Oreochromis niloticus: one gene and its partner. The protein of the gene in region 2 interacts with the protein of the main gene of each other region in a biochemical or structural test. Links are inferred from orthologs where the notes say so. Each region holds a gene or a part of one and is shown on either strand. Other genes may lie near its edges.

The links.
Region 1: the proteins of cebpb (region 2) and cebpg form a complex in vitro, tested with the Homo sapiens proteins (2 studies listed by BioGRID and IntAct, with this or other methods). The link is inferred for Oreochromis niloticus from reciprocal best matches to the Homo sapiens genes CEBPB and CEBPG.

The regions. Positions count from the first base shown.
Region 1 is NC_031965.2:37,665,082-37,674,356, reverse strand, and holds the start of cebpg (CCAAT/enhancer-binding protein gamma), read left to right. Parts: upstream 1-5,669; 5' UTR 5,670-5,830; intron 5,831-7,385; 5' UTR 7,386-7,491; coding exon 7,492-7,983; 3' UTR 7,984-9,275. Other genes in the region: cebpa (CCAAT/enhancer-binding protein alpha), read right to left, coding at 1-834. UniProt on the Homo sapiens protein: Transcription factor that binds to the promoter and the enhancer regions of target genes. Binds to the enhancer element PRE-I (positive regulatory element-I) of the IL-4 gene. Binds to the promoter and the enhancer of the immunoglobulin heavy chain.
Region 2 is NC_031984.2:10,007,351-10,015,621, reverse strand, and holds cebpb (CCAAT/enhancer-binding protein beta), read right to left. Parts: upstream 2,938-8,271; 5' UTR 2,757-2,937; coding exon 1,875-2,756; 3' UTR 1,368-1,874; downstream 1-1,367. UniProt on the Homo sapiens protein: Important transcription factor regulating the expression of genes involved in immune and inflammatory responses. Also plays a significant role in adipogenesis, as well as in the gluconeogenic pathway, liver regeneration, and hematopoiesis.

The DNA of each region.
Region 1 (9,275 bases), on a different chromosome or scaffold from region 2:
TAAAGTGTCCAGCTCGCGGGTCAGGTGCTCCACCCTGCGCCTCAGTCTCTCGTTGTCGGCGGTCAGCTCCACCACCTTGTGCTGCGTCTCCATGTTGCGCATCTTGGCCTTGTCCCTGCTCTTGCGCACGGCCACGTTGTTGCGCTCGCGCCTCAGCCGGTACTCCGGGCTGTTCTTGTCAACGTGCTTCTTGGTTTTGCCGCCTCCCCTCTGCTGCTCTAGCAGCTTCATGCCGCCCTGCTGCGAGTGCGAGTGCGGGTGTTGGTGCTGGTGCTGGTGCGGGCTGGGCACCGGGGTCGGCGGAGGTGTAGGGTGCCCTGGCTGGAGGTGCATGGTGGTCTGCGCGCAGTGTGCAATCTGGTACTGGAGGTGCGGCATCTGCTGCTGCTGCTGCTGGGAGTACTGCTGGGGGTGTGGGTGCGGGTGGTGGTAGGTGGGGGGCATGCCCGGGTTCATGTCCTCGTCGTCCCGGGGCTCCTGCTTGATAGCCACCGGTCGGAGGCGTGGAGGATTGTGCTCGTAAAGCGGCTCCATCTTAGACTCCATGTAGTTGGACATGTAGAGCTGCTGGGGCCCCGGGCCGCAAGTCACCGGGTCGTACTCCCCGTTCATCATTTTGAGCTTGTCCTGTCGGGAGCTGTGGTGGAACAGGTCAGCCAGGAAGTCGTCGTTGAACGCTGATGGGTCGATGTAGGCGCTCAGGTCGATGGAGGTCTCGTTGTCTCCGATCTCACCGCCAAGATCTGCCGGGTCTCTGTAGCCGGAGGAGGGCTGCTGGTTCAGGCTGTTCATCAGGGGTCGAGGTGCGACCTCGTACAGGTTAGAGAGCTCCATTGAGAATCTAAACCCGGGCAGGCATGGCGATGAGCTCCGGGAATCCAGGTTGCACAAAGTCGGGTACTAAGGTGAGAGGGGGTTACACAGCTGCAAGCATGCGCTGACCCAAAGCTCGGAGAGACTGTGACGGTTGCAGTGGCTCCGTTTGTACGCGGAAAGAAGCGGAATGAAGCAGCTTCAGGCTTAACTCTGCTGGGCTGATTCCTCCTGCTCAGTAAACTCCGAGCTGTCAAACTGCTGTTATATACAGAGAGGGAGAGGGAGTGGGCGGGCACACGTGCCCGCGCGCGCGCACACACAGCCCTCAGTCTTGCCAGCTATCTGCACGGGAACGCTTCAGAGTCAAACTCGACTCAAACTTTTATCACACACAGCGTCCTGCGCTCCTCTCTGCGCGCTCTGCTCACACATCAGCGCCAAAGCTCAGGCTGGTGAAGACACGCTGAAACCACCCGGAGCAGTTAGAGTCGGTCCGCAAAAGTCACATTAAATATATATATATATATATATATATATATATATATATATATATATATACATATATATATATATGTTTACAAAAACAAATATTGACAAAAATTAATAAATGCTCTGGATTTCAGACGCTCTTCTAGACCGAGCGCGCTGGTGTTCAGCGCGTAACACGATCAGCTTGAAAACCTGTTTTAAAAGAACTAAATTCTTTTCTTTAATCCCCGGGCAGTCTACACCGGGAGACTTTATCTCTGAAAGGAGGGAGCGGCACCTATCAGAGCAGGACGCACAGACTTTATGTGCAAGTTATAAAAGTCGTGAACATCTTCTGGACTTAGAACACGTCTGATGTTAAATAGAATGCGCACTGATGCAAAAACCTGTCATTACTTCATTATAATATGAATATATACCGTCAAGTCCCTGCAAGAAATAACTTCTTTTCTTATTGTAATGTATTTTTATTTCCAAATTCTAAGTCAGGAAGATCCAACACTGAGGCATATTTATTATGACCTGCTTACAATGTTAGATGTGACTTGGGGAATCTGCTTGGATGAGGACGGGTGAGCAGCGCGGAGCAGTGGGGGCAGGGACGGCGGACTGAAGAGCAGGACTGCAGCGCCCTCTGTGAGCAGCAAACAGAGAGATCTTCGTGTTGGGAGCGATTTAAAGCTGCTTGTTTATTTTGTATTTTTATTCCATGCGTATATTTTTACAGGTTTTTGCTTGACCTCCATTTGAAGACAATAATCTGCTTCTTTCTGACAGCCCAGCGCGACTTCTGTCCTTTTTGTAACTGCTGCCATAAAAGTGATTTAGGAAAGGGCAGCTGGAAACAGTAGCACTGAGAATAAAATCAGTGGCTTATAAATGAGGTTCACATTGAGGATGTTGGAATAGAGAATCCTTCGGGGGGCATCTTTGGTTCATTTGAGGAATTTTTAAGCAACCTTGAGGAAGCTTTAGTGGTCCTCAGGGTCTGACTTTTAAAACTAGTGTTGACGGACTCAGCTGGGAAAATGTGAACAACATTTTCTGTTGCACTGGGAAGCTCTTCAGGCCAGAGACTTTCAGAAGGAAGTACCAAGGGTCCTTGAAATGATCTGGAGGAACATGTGTTTTTAAGGAAACAATATAATAATTAAAAAAGTTTAAAACTGGAAAAAATAAGTGTGATGTTCCTAAACTTCAAAGTCAGCATGTTAAACACAAACTAGAATACACAAAAACGCTCAGACAAATATTTGAAGAGCTTTTGTTTGCTTCACTGCAGCTCAGCTGTCAGCACGGTGCGAGGGTACCTCAGATCAGGCCAGCACGTGGACCTTTGACCTCTTCGATCACACGAGCGATTCCTAATACTGCATTCAGCCTTCATTTGTTTTCAGTGACTTTACTTTCATTTTAACAGCACTGGTGACTCTCTGTTGAGCTGAGGCAGCCCTGACCTCAATGACATCACACCATTGTCACCAGTGCTATCAGTGTTGCAGCATTAGTGGTCCTGTACACATTTTCTGCAGCAACAGTGTGGTTGGACAGTAAAAAAAATTAAAAATCACATTGTTTCCAGAAGCAATGTGATTTGAATTTAAGTTGACATTAACCAATCAGACCTGAGAAAGCAGTTTACCAAAAAAGCAAACACTGCACTGGAGTCATGAGTGACAGCTTCGAATTCCACATGGACAGCTGGCCAACATTCACAGCATATTTCCAGACATCAGCACAGTTTGGATGCAGCGCCTAGTGAGAGCAATGCAATGTTTGGTCACGTGACCAGGCATCACTATTACCAAACCTCATGTTGTGTGTGTCTTTGTGGCTGCTTTCAGTCCAGCTCAATTTCATTTATACAGTTAAGTCCAAAAGTTGTTGGACAGTGACTGTTTTTTTGGGGGGGTTGTTTGCCTCTGTACACCACAACAGTGAATTTAAAAAATGAAGCACAGACTTTCAGCTTTAATTTGGGGGGATTTACCAAAAGTACTGAACTAACTGTACTGGAATTACAGCCATTTTATGCACAGTACTGACTTTCACAGGACAATTGACTGACAAGCTGCTTCATGGTCATATGAGGCCTGTTGTCATCTTATGTCATGTGAAATAGTCAGATATAAAATCTGTTGTTAAGTCCAAGAGTTGAAATTGCATTTGATAGCTGGACTTCTCAATGTGGCATCTCAGTGGAAGTGAGGGAGGCCATCGTTCCGCTGAAAAGCCCAAATAAACAGCAAAGACTTTGGTATTGGCCAAATCAAAAATCTGGTGCATTGTTTAAAAGAAAGAACGCACTGACCAGCTCAGCAACACCAAAAGATCTGAAAGAGCATAGAAAACACCTACAGTGCATGATGACAGAATTATTTCCATGATTAAGAAAATACCTTTACAACATCAGACCCAGTCAAGCTCACAAGGAGGGGGCAGAGTCACAATGAAGACTGATAATTAAATGATGCATTTGCAAATGGAAATACAGAAAGTTTACAACAGGTCAGACTGTCAGTAAACATCTAAAAGAGCCTGAAAAAGATCTTGGGACAGATGATGGTTGTTTAAGAATGATGGCCTGGGCATGTATGGCTGCAGTTGAACCGGGTCATGGGTGTTTATTCATGATGTGGCTGCCAGTATAAGCAGCAGGATGAACTGTGGCGTGGTTTCTAGACTTTAGGTAGCCACCCGGTGCAAAGGATTTTTGTCCAGTTATTAAAATCCATCCTAATATTTACACTTAGGAGCCTCTGGAAATGGGAAGCTATGTATTAAAATGACAGTCAATGCACAAGTTTTGTTAAGTGAAAGCTGAAAGTTGCACTGCAATCTAAGGCTACGTTCACACTGCAGGCGAAAGCGCATCAAATCCGATTTTTTCGCCCCTATGCGACCCGTATCCGATCTTGGTCTGACAGTGTGAACGGCACAAATCCGATATTTTCAAATCCGATCTGGGTCACTTTCGTATGTGGTACTGAATCCGATACGTATCCGATGTTTTAGAAAGCGACTGCTGTGTGAACGGTCAAGTCGCATTAAATCCGTCTTTTACGTCACTGACACAAGACAGACGCCAATTATCAGCGCCGGAGAAGCGCCCGATAGGACATCGCGAACGATTTCCTACCATCCGGTGAAACTGTTGGGAAGACAACGTTGGAGAAATGTGAACATTTTATTTTTACTGTATTTTCTGCAGATTCTGACAGAAATCTGCAACTATCCTTTGAAGCACCGCTCCTCTAAAACAGCAAAAAGGATCATTATTAGGTTATCTACATTATTATGTAAATAACAAAATAACTTAAAGCAAAAATCTGGAAACGTAAAGTCCGAAGTCTTTATATTAAGGGCCATCAGTCAAACAATATTGTTTGCTCTGGGTCTAAACAGAGCGAGTTGTGTGACATCTTCTTTTGCGCATGCGGGCCGCTTTGAGCGTTCACACTGGAGAGCGTTTGATGTCGCATTTTATGTGTAGTGTGAACAAGCAGACAAAAAAATCGGATTTGATCAAAAAATCGGAATTGAGCATTAAGACCTGCAGTGTGAACGTAGCCTAATGTTCCACAGAAGAGGCCTGAAGCTGTAGGCTCTGCCTCCCATTCCACTTTTGGAAACTCTAGAAACCACATGTAACCACAGCCTGAGAGAAAAGTGCTGTCAGGATAAATTTTTGTCTGTTTGTTGTGGGTTTGTATCTTCTTTTTATCACTTTTATCACCCGCTTTTTTAATATTTGGGGTTTTTGTCTTTTTTTTTTTTTTTTTTACCTTTTGAAGTTGATCTTTTGTTTTTGTTTGTTTGGGGCTCAGGTCCAGGTGACCTCTGACATCTCGGGGTCTTTGTCTATACATCCCTTCATTTATATTCTCTGGTCACGATTATTATAAATAAAAGCGCTTTGGGTGCCTTGAAAAGCGCTATATGAAATCCAATCCATTATTATTATTAAAACAGTAATTACATTGTTTTTGTGTGTTCCTGGCAGGACCGCGGTTTCATTAAGTGCTTGTGTCACCTGTGAATGTTCTCCAGCTGTTTTAAGGGGTTTCTTCGTACACACGGACATCACAATAGTTATTATAGTGACTGAAGGAAGCGGGAGCGTCGTTACTGAAGGTACGGCCGCTTTGAGAGTGAGTCTCGTCATTCAGAGATGAAGTCATACGTGTTTCAACTCATCTGACCAGCCTCGGTTACATAAACAACGCCGAGAGAAGATAGCAGCGTCTCATTGGTCCAAACACGAATCAATCACAAAGAGCATTGCATCACTCCGCCGCACACTCATCGGTGATTGGCCAAGCGCCCCACTCGCTGCCACCTACTCGCCTGTGATTAGCTCATCCTGGACATTGCCGTACATGGTAAAAGAGATTTCGCAATCGGTCGCTCTCCATGTTACAAACAAAAACAGTCCGAGCTCATACGGACGGGATTAAACTTCGGTTTTCTAGGGAAACTTTCTCATCTTTTGACGGACGGTTGAGCCCGCCGCCTCCCAGTGAAGGTAAAATCGTAGTTTTCTTTCTCTGTAGGTTCGAAACAGCGAAGCTGGCAGTGAACTGATGGCTGTTAGCGACAGGAGCTAACCCGCTAGCTGGCTATGCGCCCGGCTAAACAGGCAGTGTTCGCGTTCGTTAAAAGAAAGCTGTCGTGTTTCGGGCCAAACTAGGCTTAAATCGACGCCTGTCTCAGATCGGGAAAGCTCGACGGTCAGTGGTGAGTCGGTGAGTTGCCTGTTGGTCGCTTCGAGTGAACAGAAAGTTGTCAAAGTGTTCGAAAATTAAAGTTTGGGTACTTTAAAGCGACGTGTTTCGGATCAGTCCGCCTGTTTTGATCTGTTTCGTGTGTTTTCATATTTGTCACACGTCGGTGAAGTCACCAGAAAGCGGTGGTTTTGTGTGTAGCCCCGCATGACTCTGGAGTTCCCCTGTCTTCACACAAAGAGAGCCGCTCGTGATGATGCAACAACAGGCAACCTCTCCGCTGTTTCACCCGGAGCGCTTTCCGCTGCGCACAGCTGACTGGCTGCATAGCAACGCCCCAGCCAATCAGAGCGGCGCTACTAATTGGCCGTGCGGAATAACAATCTGAACAATTATGGTATCGCAGTGATGGAGTAGGAGGAAGAAGATGGTGATGATGAAGCCTCCTAACTGGAGCTAGAAGAACGCTAGGAAAGTGAGGAAATGATGTTCAGAGCTGGAACTTTGACTGACTGACTGACTTCCACCTTCCAGAAATGATAGAAACACATTAAAATGGCTTGTCAGTCCTTTCGTTGCAGAAATAAAATTTAAAAAATCCCTGAACATTTCTGGCGCAGAGCTGCAGAGTGAAATCAAAAAGCTATCAAGTCTGACAAATGTTCAGTGTTTGCACTGTGAAGCTCATATTTAGCAGGACCAGAGCCTGCATCCACTGGTGGAGCCACCGAAAGACGCCAAAGCAGAATCCATAATACCGCCTTTGTGCCCATTTGCGTAGGCGTCTGATTAGTGAATTGATATGGGATATTCAACCAGCACAGACATGCTTGCAGGTGAGTGATGTGTTAGGCTCAGGTAGAATGTTGATTTGGTTAAAAAGTGGGCTTGAACAGTAAGAGATCGACAGGAGGTTCACTGCATAGAGGAAGAAGAGTGGAGAAAAAAATAACAGATCAAAATGATGCGCACAAGTCTCGAGATGCAGCTGTATGATATCAAAGACCACCAGGACGCTTTTCACTTCCTGTCAGCGCACAGGAAGCCAGCAAAGACCGGAACCTCTGACGTTAGGTACCCTAACCCTAATCAGATGGTGTTGTTCTTTCATGTAGATGATAAAAAGTCACCAGTACTTTACTTATTAAAATACCAAATAAAGTCAGTGAAAGGGACGTACTGTGGTTCAGCTGAGGCCTCCACTCCAAACGCGTGGACAGAAACATCTGCACACAGCTGTCTCTGACTTCTTTGTCTTCTTACATGTGTGGTGTTGTCCATGGCTAGTCTGTAGCTTAGTGTTTGCTTTGATTCTGTGTGATGTGCTCAATTAATCTGGTCTGTCTCACCCTCCAGGCTCTGTCCATCTGCAGGACCATCTTCTTTGCTTCTAGTCTTCTATTCAGCTCTACACCTGAGGAGACTCTGGTCAAAGATCAGCACCTGTTGGCAGCACATCCAAATGAGCCGGCCGTCGCAGCCGAAACTAACTGCAACTGACCACAACGGCGTGAGTGTCATCCAGAGCCAGGCCCACGCTGCTTCTTCGTCCCTCCCGGCAGCCGTAGCCGGACTGCAGCAGGTCCCACAACTCGTCCCAGCAAACCCTTCAACCGGAGGTGGCAAAGCCCTCGCCCCCAGCAAGATGAAGAAACCCCCTGCAGACAAGGACAGCGAGGAGTACCGCCAGCGGCGCGAACGCAACAACCTGGCAGTGAAGAAGAGCCGCATGCGCAGCAAGCAGAAGGCGATGGACACGCAACAGCGCGTAAACGAGCTGAAGGAGGAGAACGAGCGGCTCGAGGCAAAGATTAAACTGCTGAGCAAAGAGCTGAGCGTGCTCAAAGACCTCTTCCTGGAGCACGCTCACAACCTGGCTGACAACGTCCAGCCGTCGGCAGGCGCGGAGGGTTCCAGTCCCGCCCCCAACAGTACCTCCACCAATGGGCAGTGAGGAGGGTAACCACCAGGATGTTGAATATCTGCAGCTTTTGTGGAAGCTTCTCCCTTTGGGAACGAGGCCCCACTTCTTCTTCATGGCTTTTTTTTTTTTTCTGATTATCAGTTTTTATTTAACCTCTTAATAATTCAACACCATCATCATCCAGTTCGCCAAAATAACCGCCAGTGTTCCCACCGTCTACCCAGAACAGCTGGAATCATTTTAGAAGAAAAAGCTTAAAACATGTTTTCTGGAAATATCTTTTAAAAATTGAAAAGATCCACTGAAGTGTGACTTTTAAAATTGAAAGCCAGTTAGTCTGTGATGTTTGGCTGGAAGCCTCCAGCTGTGTCATCGCTCCTCTGATTGACTCATTGATTTGGGGGAACGTGATGCGATGTGAACTCGTATAAACTGAGTCGTCATCTGTCAGGATTCTCTGGAACAAAAAAAAAAAATCACCACACATTTCCTGCATTTCCTCTTCCTGGTGGCGGAAAACCCCCGGTTCAGTCTGATGAAGACGGCCGTGGCCATCGCTGAGTGCTCCGCAGCCACAGGATGGACTTGTAAATGCTAAAATTCCCTTTTTCAGGATGTGTATTTTCTTCTGTTCTTCTACAAAGAGTTTGTAAAACAAAAGTGTTTTTATTGTTAAGTACATTCACTACATGTTGATGTTTTAAGCACAGTTCTGTTTGTGTGTGTGTGTGTGTGTGTGTGTGTGTGTGTTTGTTTTGTTTTTTCATGACTCGTGTTGTTTAAGATCAGAAATGGAAAAACACTTTTATATCTGACTCTGAGTGAAAACAGAGGGAGGGTTAGGGTTACAGACACACACACACAGACACAATTATCCTTTACTGGGTGGTTTTATTAACATGTTTGAGTTGCACACTTTTAATTTTTGGGTCTGAATCGCGGAGTCTTTCCTGCAGAGGCGGTGCATGTTAAACCTTGGTCTCCTGCCATATCAGTGGCTGCCCGAAGCCTTTAACGGCTGAAGCCGGCAGCGCTCGGCCCTGACGAAGCAGAACAAAATGCTAATTTCACTGGAAATGGAAACAGTGGCTGTGTGCACATCTTTAATACACGTCACAGCTGATTGGTGTTAAATGAGAAAATAAACCTCTAAACTCATTTCACGCCACTTCAGAAAATCTCAAGTTTAGACTCTGAACAGATGGACTTAAACCTGTTAATAGGACATCTTTAAGTAAAAATAAAACCACTTGTTTATTTGACAGTATTGACAATCACGGGGCCTCCAGCAGTGTCAGAGTGTAAAAATCTATACATTATGT
Region 2 (8,271 bases):
TTGTCGTGAACATAGAGTACAACAATGTCTTATTTAAATGTGGGTGTAGCATTCTTCGTGGGGTGATGTGCTGGAAAGGGAGGATATTGCACAACAGTTAAAAGCTAAACTGTTCATCATGGAGTGTGTTGAAATATCCTAAATGTCATCTCTCACTGCACACAAACAGCATCACATAGTTTTTATGCTTCATTAAGAGGAGATAAAGTGAGTTTTTCCCCTCGTTTTTCTCTTCAGTGTCAGTGTAGTACATGTGTCACTTCTTAAAAAAGAAAAAAAAACTAACAGAGGCACTTTTCACTCGCCTCACTTTTCTTTGCTGTTTGAGGAAAGAGTTGAAAAACATTCCCCACCCTGAATTGTCATAGATATCCTTTAAAATCCCACCGTGCTCCCTTTTCTTTATCTGCTCAGTCTGGGATTTGCTTGCTTGTGACAGATATGTTTCATATTGTGCACACAGTGAACTGCCTTGTCAGGGCTTGGTAAATTCCACTGCAGACCGTTTGTCAACTTATCGTGTCTGGTGTAGCTAACCTACTACCATTTTTTTAAAAACTTCTACATTTTTCCTTTTTCCTGACTTGAGGGTTAAAATAAGGTTTGCGCTCGCTGCCAGCCAGATCTTGGCTGTTGAAATGTGACCTCAGGTTGTGCGAGGAGGTTAGTTGCTGATTAATTTCCATGCAACCTTGAACCCCTCTCTGGGGCAGTGGACCCTGCAGACTATTGACAGAGCAGTGTGCTAAAGATAAAGCCATTTCTGTGCTGCGTGCAGTGTGACCAAGTCTTTTTTTATGCTTTTTGCTGCCCTCAGCAGTATCGTTTCATCATAAATTGCCTGGATGTATTTCAGGATATGAGAACTTTTCTTCCAATCATTAAGTAAACAGAAGTGCTACAGCTTTCAGATTTACCCAAAGAGCATTTTTTTTTCTTAATTTTCAGGAATAAAAATCATCTTTCTATTTTATTTGTCAATTTTTCTCTATTTACCTTCTGATCAAACCACTGGGTGCCATTTTCTGCTTCATGAATACACCACATGAGCAAATACTTGAAATATAATGTAATGTTTCTTTCTTTTGTTTTTTTTTAAATGTCCTCCATCTCCAAGAAGAAACGTCAAATTCCTGCTCCGTGTTTCTTTTGGGGTGTATTTCAGTACGCAGGCCTCAATTAAAAGATTAGGAATATGCTTTGCCGCTGAGCCAGTTTCTTATCTGCAATATGTTGTAAGAGAAATATGTGGTATTACACAGTCAGTCTATGATGAGTGTGAGCATTAGACAAGCAAACGCCCCTTTCTGTCTGTCTGAGCCTTCACCTGCCTCAAAGGGACAAAAAAAGGAGATTTACAAGTGAAATTGTTTAAACAAAGTATAAATCTGTTTAATTCAATAAAATATCAAGTACAATTAAAGCATTTCACCTTTCAATATTAAATAATTAGACTTATTTCATTCATTGCCAATACTATTACAAAGAGTTGCATCATTTCACTGCAGCACAACTCTTCCCTTGACAACCACTGCTCCAGATACACACAAAAAATGTAGAAATTCACTCGCATGTATGTAAAACCTGCACAGAAATACTGCATACACACACACAAAAAGAAAAAAAAAAAATCACATCTGAGAATAAAGCTAAGGTGACATGTGAAGAGTCGTGAATGATTGCGCAATACATGCACCCACTCCTTCAGTCCCATTCAAAGTGTCCTTGTAAACTGGTGGTCGCCGTCTTCACCTGTGAAGCGTACCGTTTTCAGCACAGTGGATTCCCTTTCGGCTCTAAAGTCCACCGATGATCAGACAACAGCACGGAGATCCGTGCAGAGTCTCCGGTGTGTGAATGTGTGTGTGTGTGTTTTAACACTGTCCGGTGGCAGAGAGCAGGTTGCGCAGGGTGGCCAGCTCTCTGGACAGCTGCTCCACTCGCTTTTGTAAACGATCGTTCTCTGCGGCCAGTTCCAGCACTTTGTGTTGAGTCTCCAAGTTGCGCATTTTGGCTTTGTCCCTGCTCTTCCTCACGGCGAGGTTGTTCCTCTCCCGCCTCAGCCTGTACTCTTCACTGTCCTTGTCCAGGCGTTTCTTTGACTTCCCGCTGGACATTTTGCCACTGTGCGATGGTGATCTGCTTTTACCTGACGGGGCAGGTGTGCCGGGCGGGCTGGAACAAGTCGAGGACGCAGTGGAGATGTTTCCGAGACTACCACTAGTGGACTGGTAATGAATGTAGGACCTCATGTCAAAAGCAGACGAGCCGTTCTCCATCTTTGCGTCTTCCTGACTGTCTTCTCTGTCGGCGGCAACAGCAGCAGCAGCAGCTCTGTAGCGGCTCCCGAGTTCAGGGCTCAGCACGCTATCCACGCGGGTTTCCTGCAGCTCCGGGTAACCTAGCGCGTAGGGCTCCCTGGGGTCCCTCAGGTTGTCGCACTGGCTCGTCTCCAGCTCGTTCAGTAGCGAGTAGTTCTTGTAGTTCTGCAAAGCTGCAACTCTTCTCTTGTTCTCTGCCAAGAAATCTGAGAAAACGTCCCCCTGCTGCTGCTGCGTCTGCGCCGCCAGCTGCGGGTAGTGCAAAGCTGAGTCCAGGTAAACACTGAAGTCTATCGCTCTCTCCCGCTCTTCAATGCCCAGCTCCGTCATCGAGTCACCGAGCCTCCAATATGAGCCGCCGCCGATGGGGCTGATAACGCTGTCTCTACTGTGGATAGCAAAGCTGCCCTCCTCGTAGAAGCCGGCCACTTCCATGGATCTTAACACCCGCCGGATTGCAGAAGCATGGAGGGCTGAGGTGAGACGCCCTGAGTGGTTTGGGTTGAGCTGTGAAATGCGTCTGAATGTGGTGAGTCTATAGCTCCCGTGACAACATGCAGTAAACTACTTTGAAGAACTTGTGCTCATGGAGTGAGAGGAATTGACAGGTTCTTCCTGTCTCGGGGGGTTTTATTTTTTCTAGCAAGGGGCGGAGTTCAGGTATGTGACGTGCAAGGCAAGTGGACAACCTGTGCTGTTTTTCGAGGATCTTTGGCACACTGAACTGCGTTTGAACACAATAAAAAGTGAACTTAAGCACTTAAGCGGTTTTTTCTCTCTTTCTCCCCCTTCCCTGTTTGTTTGGTGGTATTGTGGCACTTGGCTACAGCAGGAGTGTCAAGATAGGAAATGCAATCATTTGTATGATTTTAAAACAAACGAAACTTAACTTAAAAAGCAAAATAAAAGTGAAAATATAAACGCACAACGGTGAGTACCTAACCAAGAGCGCAATAACGAAACAAAACCATACGTTAGGAATTCTTTGAGTGTTTTGACATCGGGTCCCTTCACGCCCTCTACAGTCAGATCTCATCAACTCGACAATAATGGAAAAATTCCACTCGGCATGTTTACCATTTTCTAACTTCGTGCGTAATCGTCTCATAACAACGATACTCATAAGCGCAGCCCCTGACAGCTGTTTCCTTTGAGCTGACTAGATTAAACCAGTATGCTGTTCTGTGGTAGACCCCTACAAGATGATACATCTCTTCCAGCACTGTATCAGGGTCAAGGTGGGTGTAATGAGAAATTTAGTGAGTTTGGTTTATGACAGTCCAGTGGGTCCACGGCTGAACCCAGGCTCACTGTGCAAATATGTCACTTCTCCCAGAACATACAATCTAGAATAAAGCCCAACATCCCAGTGTTACCAGTCACACGTGGCCTCTGAATTGGATTTACAGTCAGCACTCTCTGTTTTCTTAGACATGCAATTCCGATAAGGAAAGAATTCCCAAAAAAGGTCCTATGATGGAGAACCGGAGATGGTGGTGGTGGTGGTGGTGTGTGTGTTGGGGTGGTGGGGGGATCGACTTGTAAGAAACCCGAGATGCTGTGTGAACAGTACACAAAAGCAGCAAAGTTAAGAGACATAGTTATGGATTAAGTCTTACTGCCACCTTCTGGTGACAAGAGTCATTATAACTGACTCAAAACCGAGGTTTTGAGTTCCTGGCCAACATCCAATCTGATCTCAAGTAGGCCGGAGCTGTTAAATCACTGAATAATAACGTATACACATTTTCTCTCTGAGTATAAACACACTGTGAAAATTTTTTTACATTCAAAAGAACTATCCACTTGTTTCAAGTTTACTAAAATAAGATTTATGTAAAAGGACAGACTTTTACACACACCCATAGCTGAGTGGTTACTAATTTGTGAAACACTTTGGCTGCCTCTTTTTAAAAACCTATCTATCACCGTTTCCCCACATTATTAGGTACACTTCTTCTACAGCTAGGACAAATATTTAATCCGCCAATCACATGGCGGAAACTGGGCGCATTTACCGTAAAAATCTCATTTATGTCTCTTTTTCAGATTAAAGGGAACCTGTTATACTAATTCCAAGCTTTGTATTTTCATGTTTGGACTGCTACTAGAGAAGTCTCCCTTCGCCCACTGTCTGAAACAAGCTGTTTAGCTTCCTTCTCGCTCGACTTAATCCAACTTTCTTCTGATTGGCTGTTCCTGGTAAATATTTGAATATCAGGGGTGAGGTTGAGAAGACCATATAAGGATTTCCCCTGGTACCGACGTCATCAAGACTAAGAAGAACTGTCTGAAGTATGAGCTTTTGGCTCCCAGTGACTGTTTGTGCATACACTGACATATTTGTAGCAGAATACACACTTACTGACCACTTTATTAGGTACACCTGTTCAACCGCTCGTTAACGCACACATCTAATCAGTCAGTGTATTTATGCATGTAGACATGGTCGAGATGACCTATTGAAGTTCAAACTGAGCATCAGAATGTGGAAGAAAGGTGTTTTAAAATGACTTTAAATGTGGCTGGTCTGAATATTTCAGAAACTACTGATCTACTGGGATTTCCCACACAAACATCTCTAGGTTTGAATTTTTCCTCTTTGGGGATCAGAGGGATTACCTGTCACATGTTATTTTAAATCTTATAATGTGTCACATTATTTTTTAAATAACCAATGAACCGTTAAGACACCTTACCTGAGCATATACTGGCAACCTCATACGCAGCTGAAGCATCACAGGTGACAGATGTAACTGTAACACCTGTTCCTGTTTTCAGCAGTGACGTGGCACTTGCTCAAGATTTGGGGTCAACAGAGGAATACCTGAAGGATTTAGCAGCTTAACACTTTTGTTGATTATGTTTGCCGAGATGCTGTCTATGATTACACATAGTTGCAGTGAAGGCTTAAGTGTGATGAAAAAACAGATTACAAAAGGTCAGATTTCTCAGAGTGCCTAACATCCAAGATAAAAAACAAACACACATAGATCTACAGTGCATGATATGATAATAGAATATCAACATGATCATCAAAACTGAGAACACTGTCCAAAATGGTAAAATTCCTGTTTTTCACACTGTATTTCAGAGAAAGGGATGACAAATATGATCACATTTTTCTGTCTCTGTGTTGTTTCTGTTCTAAAAGGTTTGGAGGCATCCAGCAGTTAATGTCATCAGTGCAGGTAAGATCATCAGAGGAAAATGCTGAGTACAAATGTACATCATCTGTGTAGGAATGGCAGGATATATTATGATTCTTTATGATAGTAACAAGCAGAACCATGTAAAGGTTAAGGAGTAAGGGACCGAGGACAGACCCTTGAGAAACCCCAGTTGAATTTATCTTATTCTGTGGATCTAAAACCACTAACTGATACATAAAAAGTTCTATAGGTGTGAAGTTTTTATGTCCTGTTAAAACCAACTGAGTCATGAAGGTTTTGGTTTAAAATTTCACGATGTGTCAAAAAAGTGAGATGACACAACCCTCTTTCTGAAAAATGAACTCATTAACTCCCTTTTACCTTCCATGTGATCAACCACTTCCCCAAAGCCTCAGGTCTCTAGCTGAATATAAATAAATGTGAGATACTGGCTCTGCATGAGTCCCCCCTGCAGTCAAGATGTAATACACATTTAAAAGGAAATGAAATGTTATGGATTTATACGGATGAGATAGGAACAGAAAATAGGAATATTTGTGTTGGTATAAGAAATATAAACCAGTTCAAAATATTCATTTTAAACTGATTGCTGCAAAGGGACATAGCAAAACAACAAAAGCAGCTTTCAGCTACTCTGTTGCCACATAGCACCATGTGTTTGATTTGGCATAGGTTTTTAATGCTTATTTATTTATTTATTTATTACAACAGATGTGCTTATGGACACACACTCCAAAATGGATGGCTGTTTCTGGCTTTAATTGAGCCAGCCAAATTTTCTTGCTAAGCAAACGTGTTAACCGCTACACCATTGGAGGCATAAATGTAACATTAGTAAGTGATATGGTTAAAAATTATAAAGATGTTGGGGCTAATGCCATTGTTTTTTATATTACGAATAGTACTTCAAACTGAGATGGTTTAGAGCCTTGATTCTGAACAGACACTACTTTTGATCATTATTCCCAGTGTGATTTTTGGAAAAAGGGGTCAAACAGATTTCTATCAGCAGGTCATTCTCTACTGGAAATGAATCTATAGCCATATTTTTTGTCCACACAACACACCTGCGTGGAACACCAGATGCATTAGACTTGGTACGATATCTGTGTACGGATGTAGCTCATTTTATGGATTGGAAAGGTAATCTATTACAGCCTGAGGTGTACCGAGAAAAGTTCAAGTTAGGATGCACTGCTAAGAGCTATAAAACATTGACAAGAGCCATCTAGGTCCCTCTGAGATCAATGATTAAAGAAGACATTGTGTACTCTAGGACTTCTCCCAGACTGACAATAATTGACTTTTGTCATAGTAGGTGTACAAACAAAGTTATCAGAAATATTTTATTAGACGAAATGTATCATAACCCAGTAAGAAGGAATTATATTCTGAGGAAGTTCAGGTGTTACAGAGAAATATGTTTCACTTCCTCTCCTAAATGAGATTTACCCAACTAATGAATACATAAAGCTGAAATTTTATTTGGATGTGAACTCTGGTTTAAAAAAGATATTGAAAGTGTGGACCTCATGATTCTATTTTTATTAATTTAATTTCTAGAACTACGTGTGAAGCTGGCTGCAGTCCAGGCTGCTTCAATGCCCACACATAACAATGATTTTAATTAAATTTGGAATTATTATCAATCAATCCTAAATTGGATTCCATTATCTGGATTGTGGTATTATTAGGGAAGTCTTTTATTCACAAATACTTGCATTCAATTTTAAATTTAAACCATGCATAAACATGGCTGGTTATTTTAAGTTTAATGCACTGTTTGAGTGTCTAGTTTCTTTCTTTTGTACACCCGGTTTTGTACATAAATATTCTTAGTGCCTTATTTGACTGTGTGGTTGTTCATAAAGAAAGTTGTCTAAAAAGTCCGCTTCCCGTTAATTCCATTGCACAGATATTGGCTGCAACTCACGTAGAACACCAGGAGAGGGCGCTCAAGATAGTGTTGAGGGAACAAGTGACTGAAGTAAATGCATTTACAAATACTTATAAGACAGAAAATGCCGCATATAATTTCAGTTTTCACTAAACGGTATCAATAGTGCGTTCGCGCTGAAATAAAAGTTCATTTTTTTCTTACAGGAGACCATAATTTACAGCTAAAATTCTAGCATTCTGCCAATGTTGCTGATTGGTTAGTTAAGGATTTACGACAGGATAGACTCCCTTGACGATACCCATTAATAAGCCTCTACTAGTAAGGAACCTTTGCTTTAGAAGCGTATTTATATTACCACAGAAACTTACGTGTGTGTAAAACAAAATAAAACAAATAAGTACATTATTTGTGGTCTCCGTGGCTGCAAGCTTCATGCCTGAAATGAAAATGTCATATACCGTACCGTAAAGTGGCACATAGTGCGGTGACCTACCCAAAGTAGAAAGAAATGTAAGATTTTTTTTTTTAAGGAATAGCTGTAAATTGTGTCAGCGCCTTAAAACATTATTGACCCTAGTGAAGGTTACTGTTTACTGCACTAAATTTGCATTAGTGTTTCCTGCTCACTGTTTTCTACAGTCAATGTTCTGGACTATCACGGGCACGAGCAGAGCGGGTTCCAGACAGGACGGGTGGGGTCAGGAAATTCGATCGCGCCCCTCGCAGCCCCCTTGCCTATTGGTCACTTGGCTGCCTGTGAAGTAACCAAGCAGCCAACTGGCTGTTGATTGGTAGCTGCGTTCAACGGCTTGCACCCCATTGGCTGAAAACGTTACACTGTCTGTGGGCTGAGAAGTTGGTGATTCTGTTGGTTCCT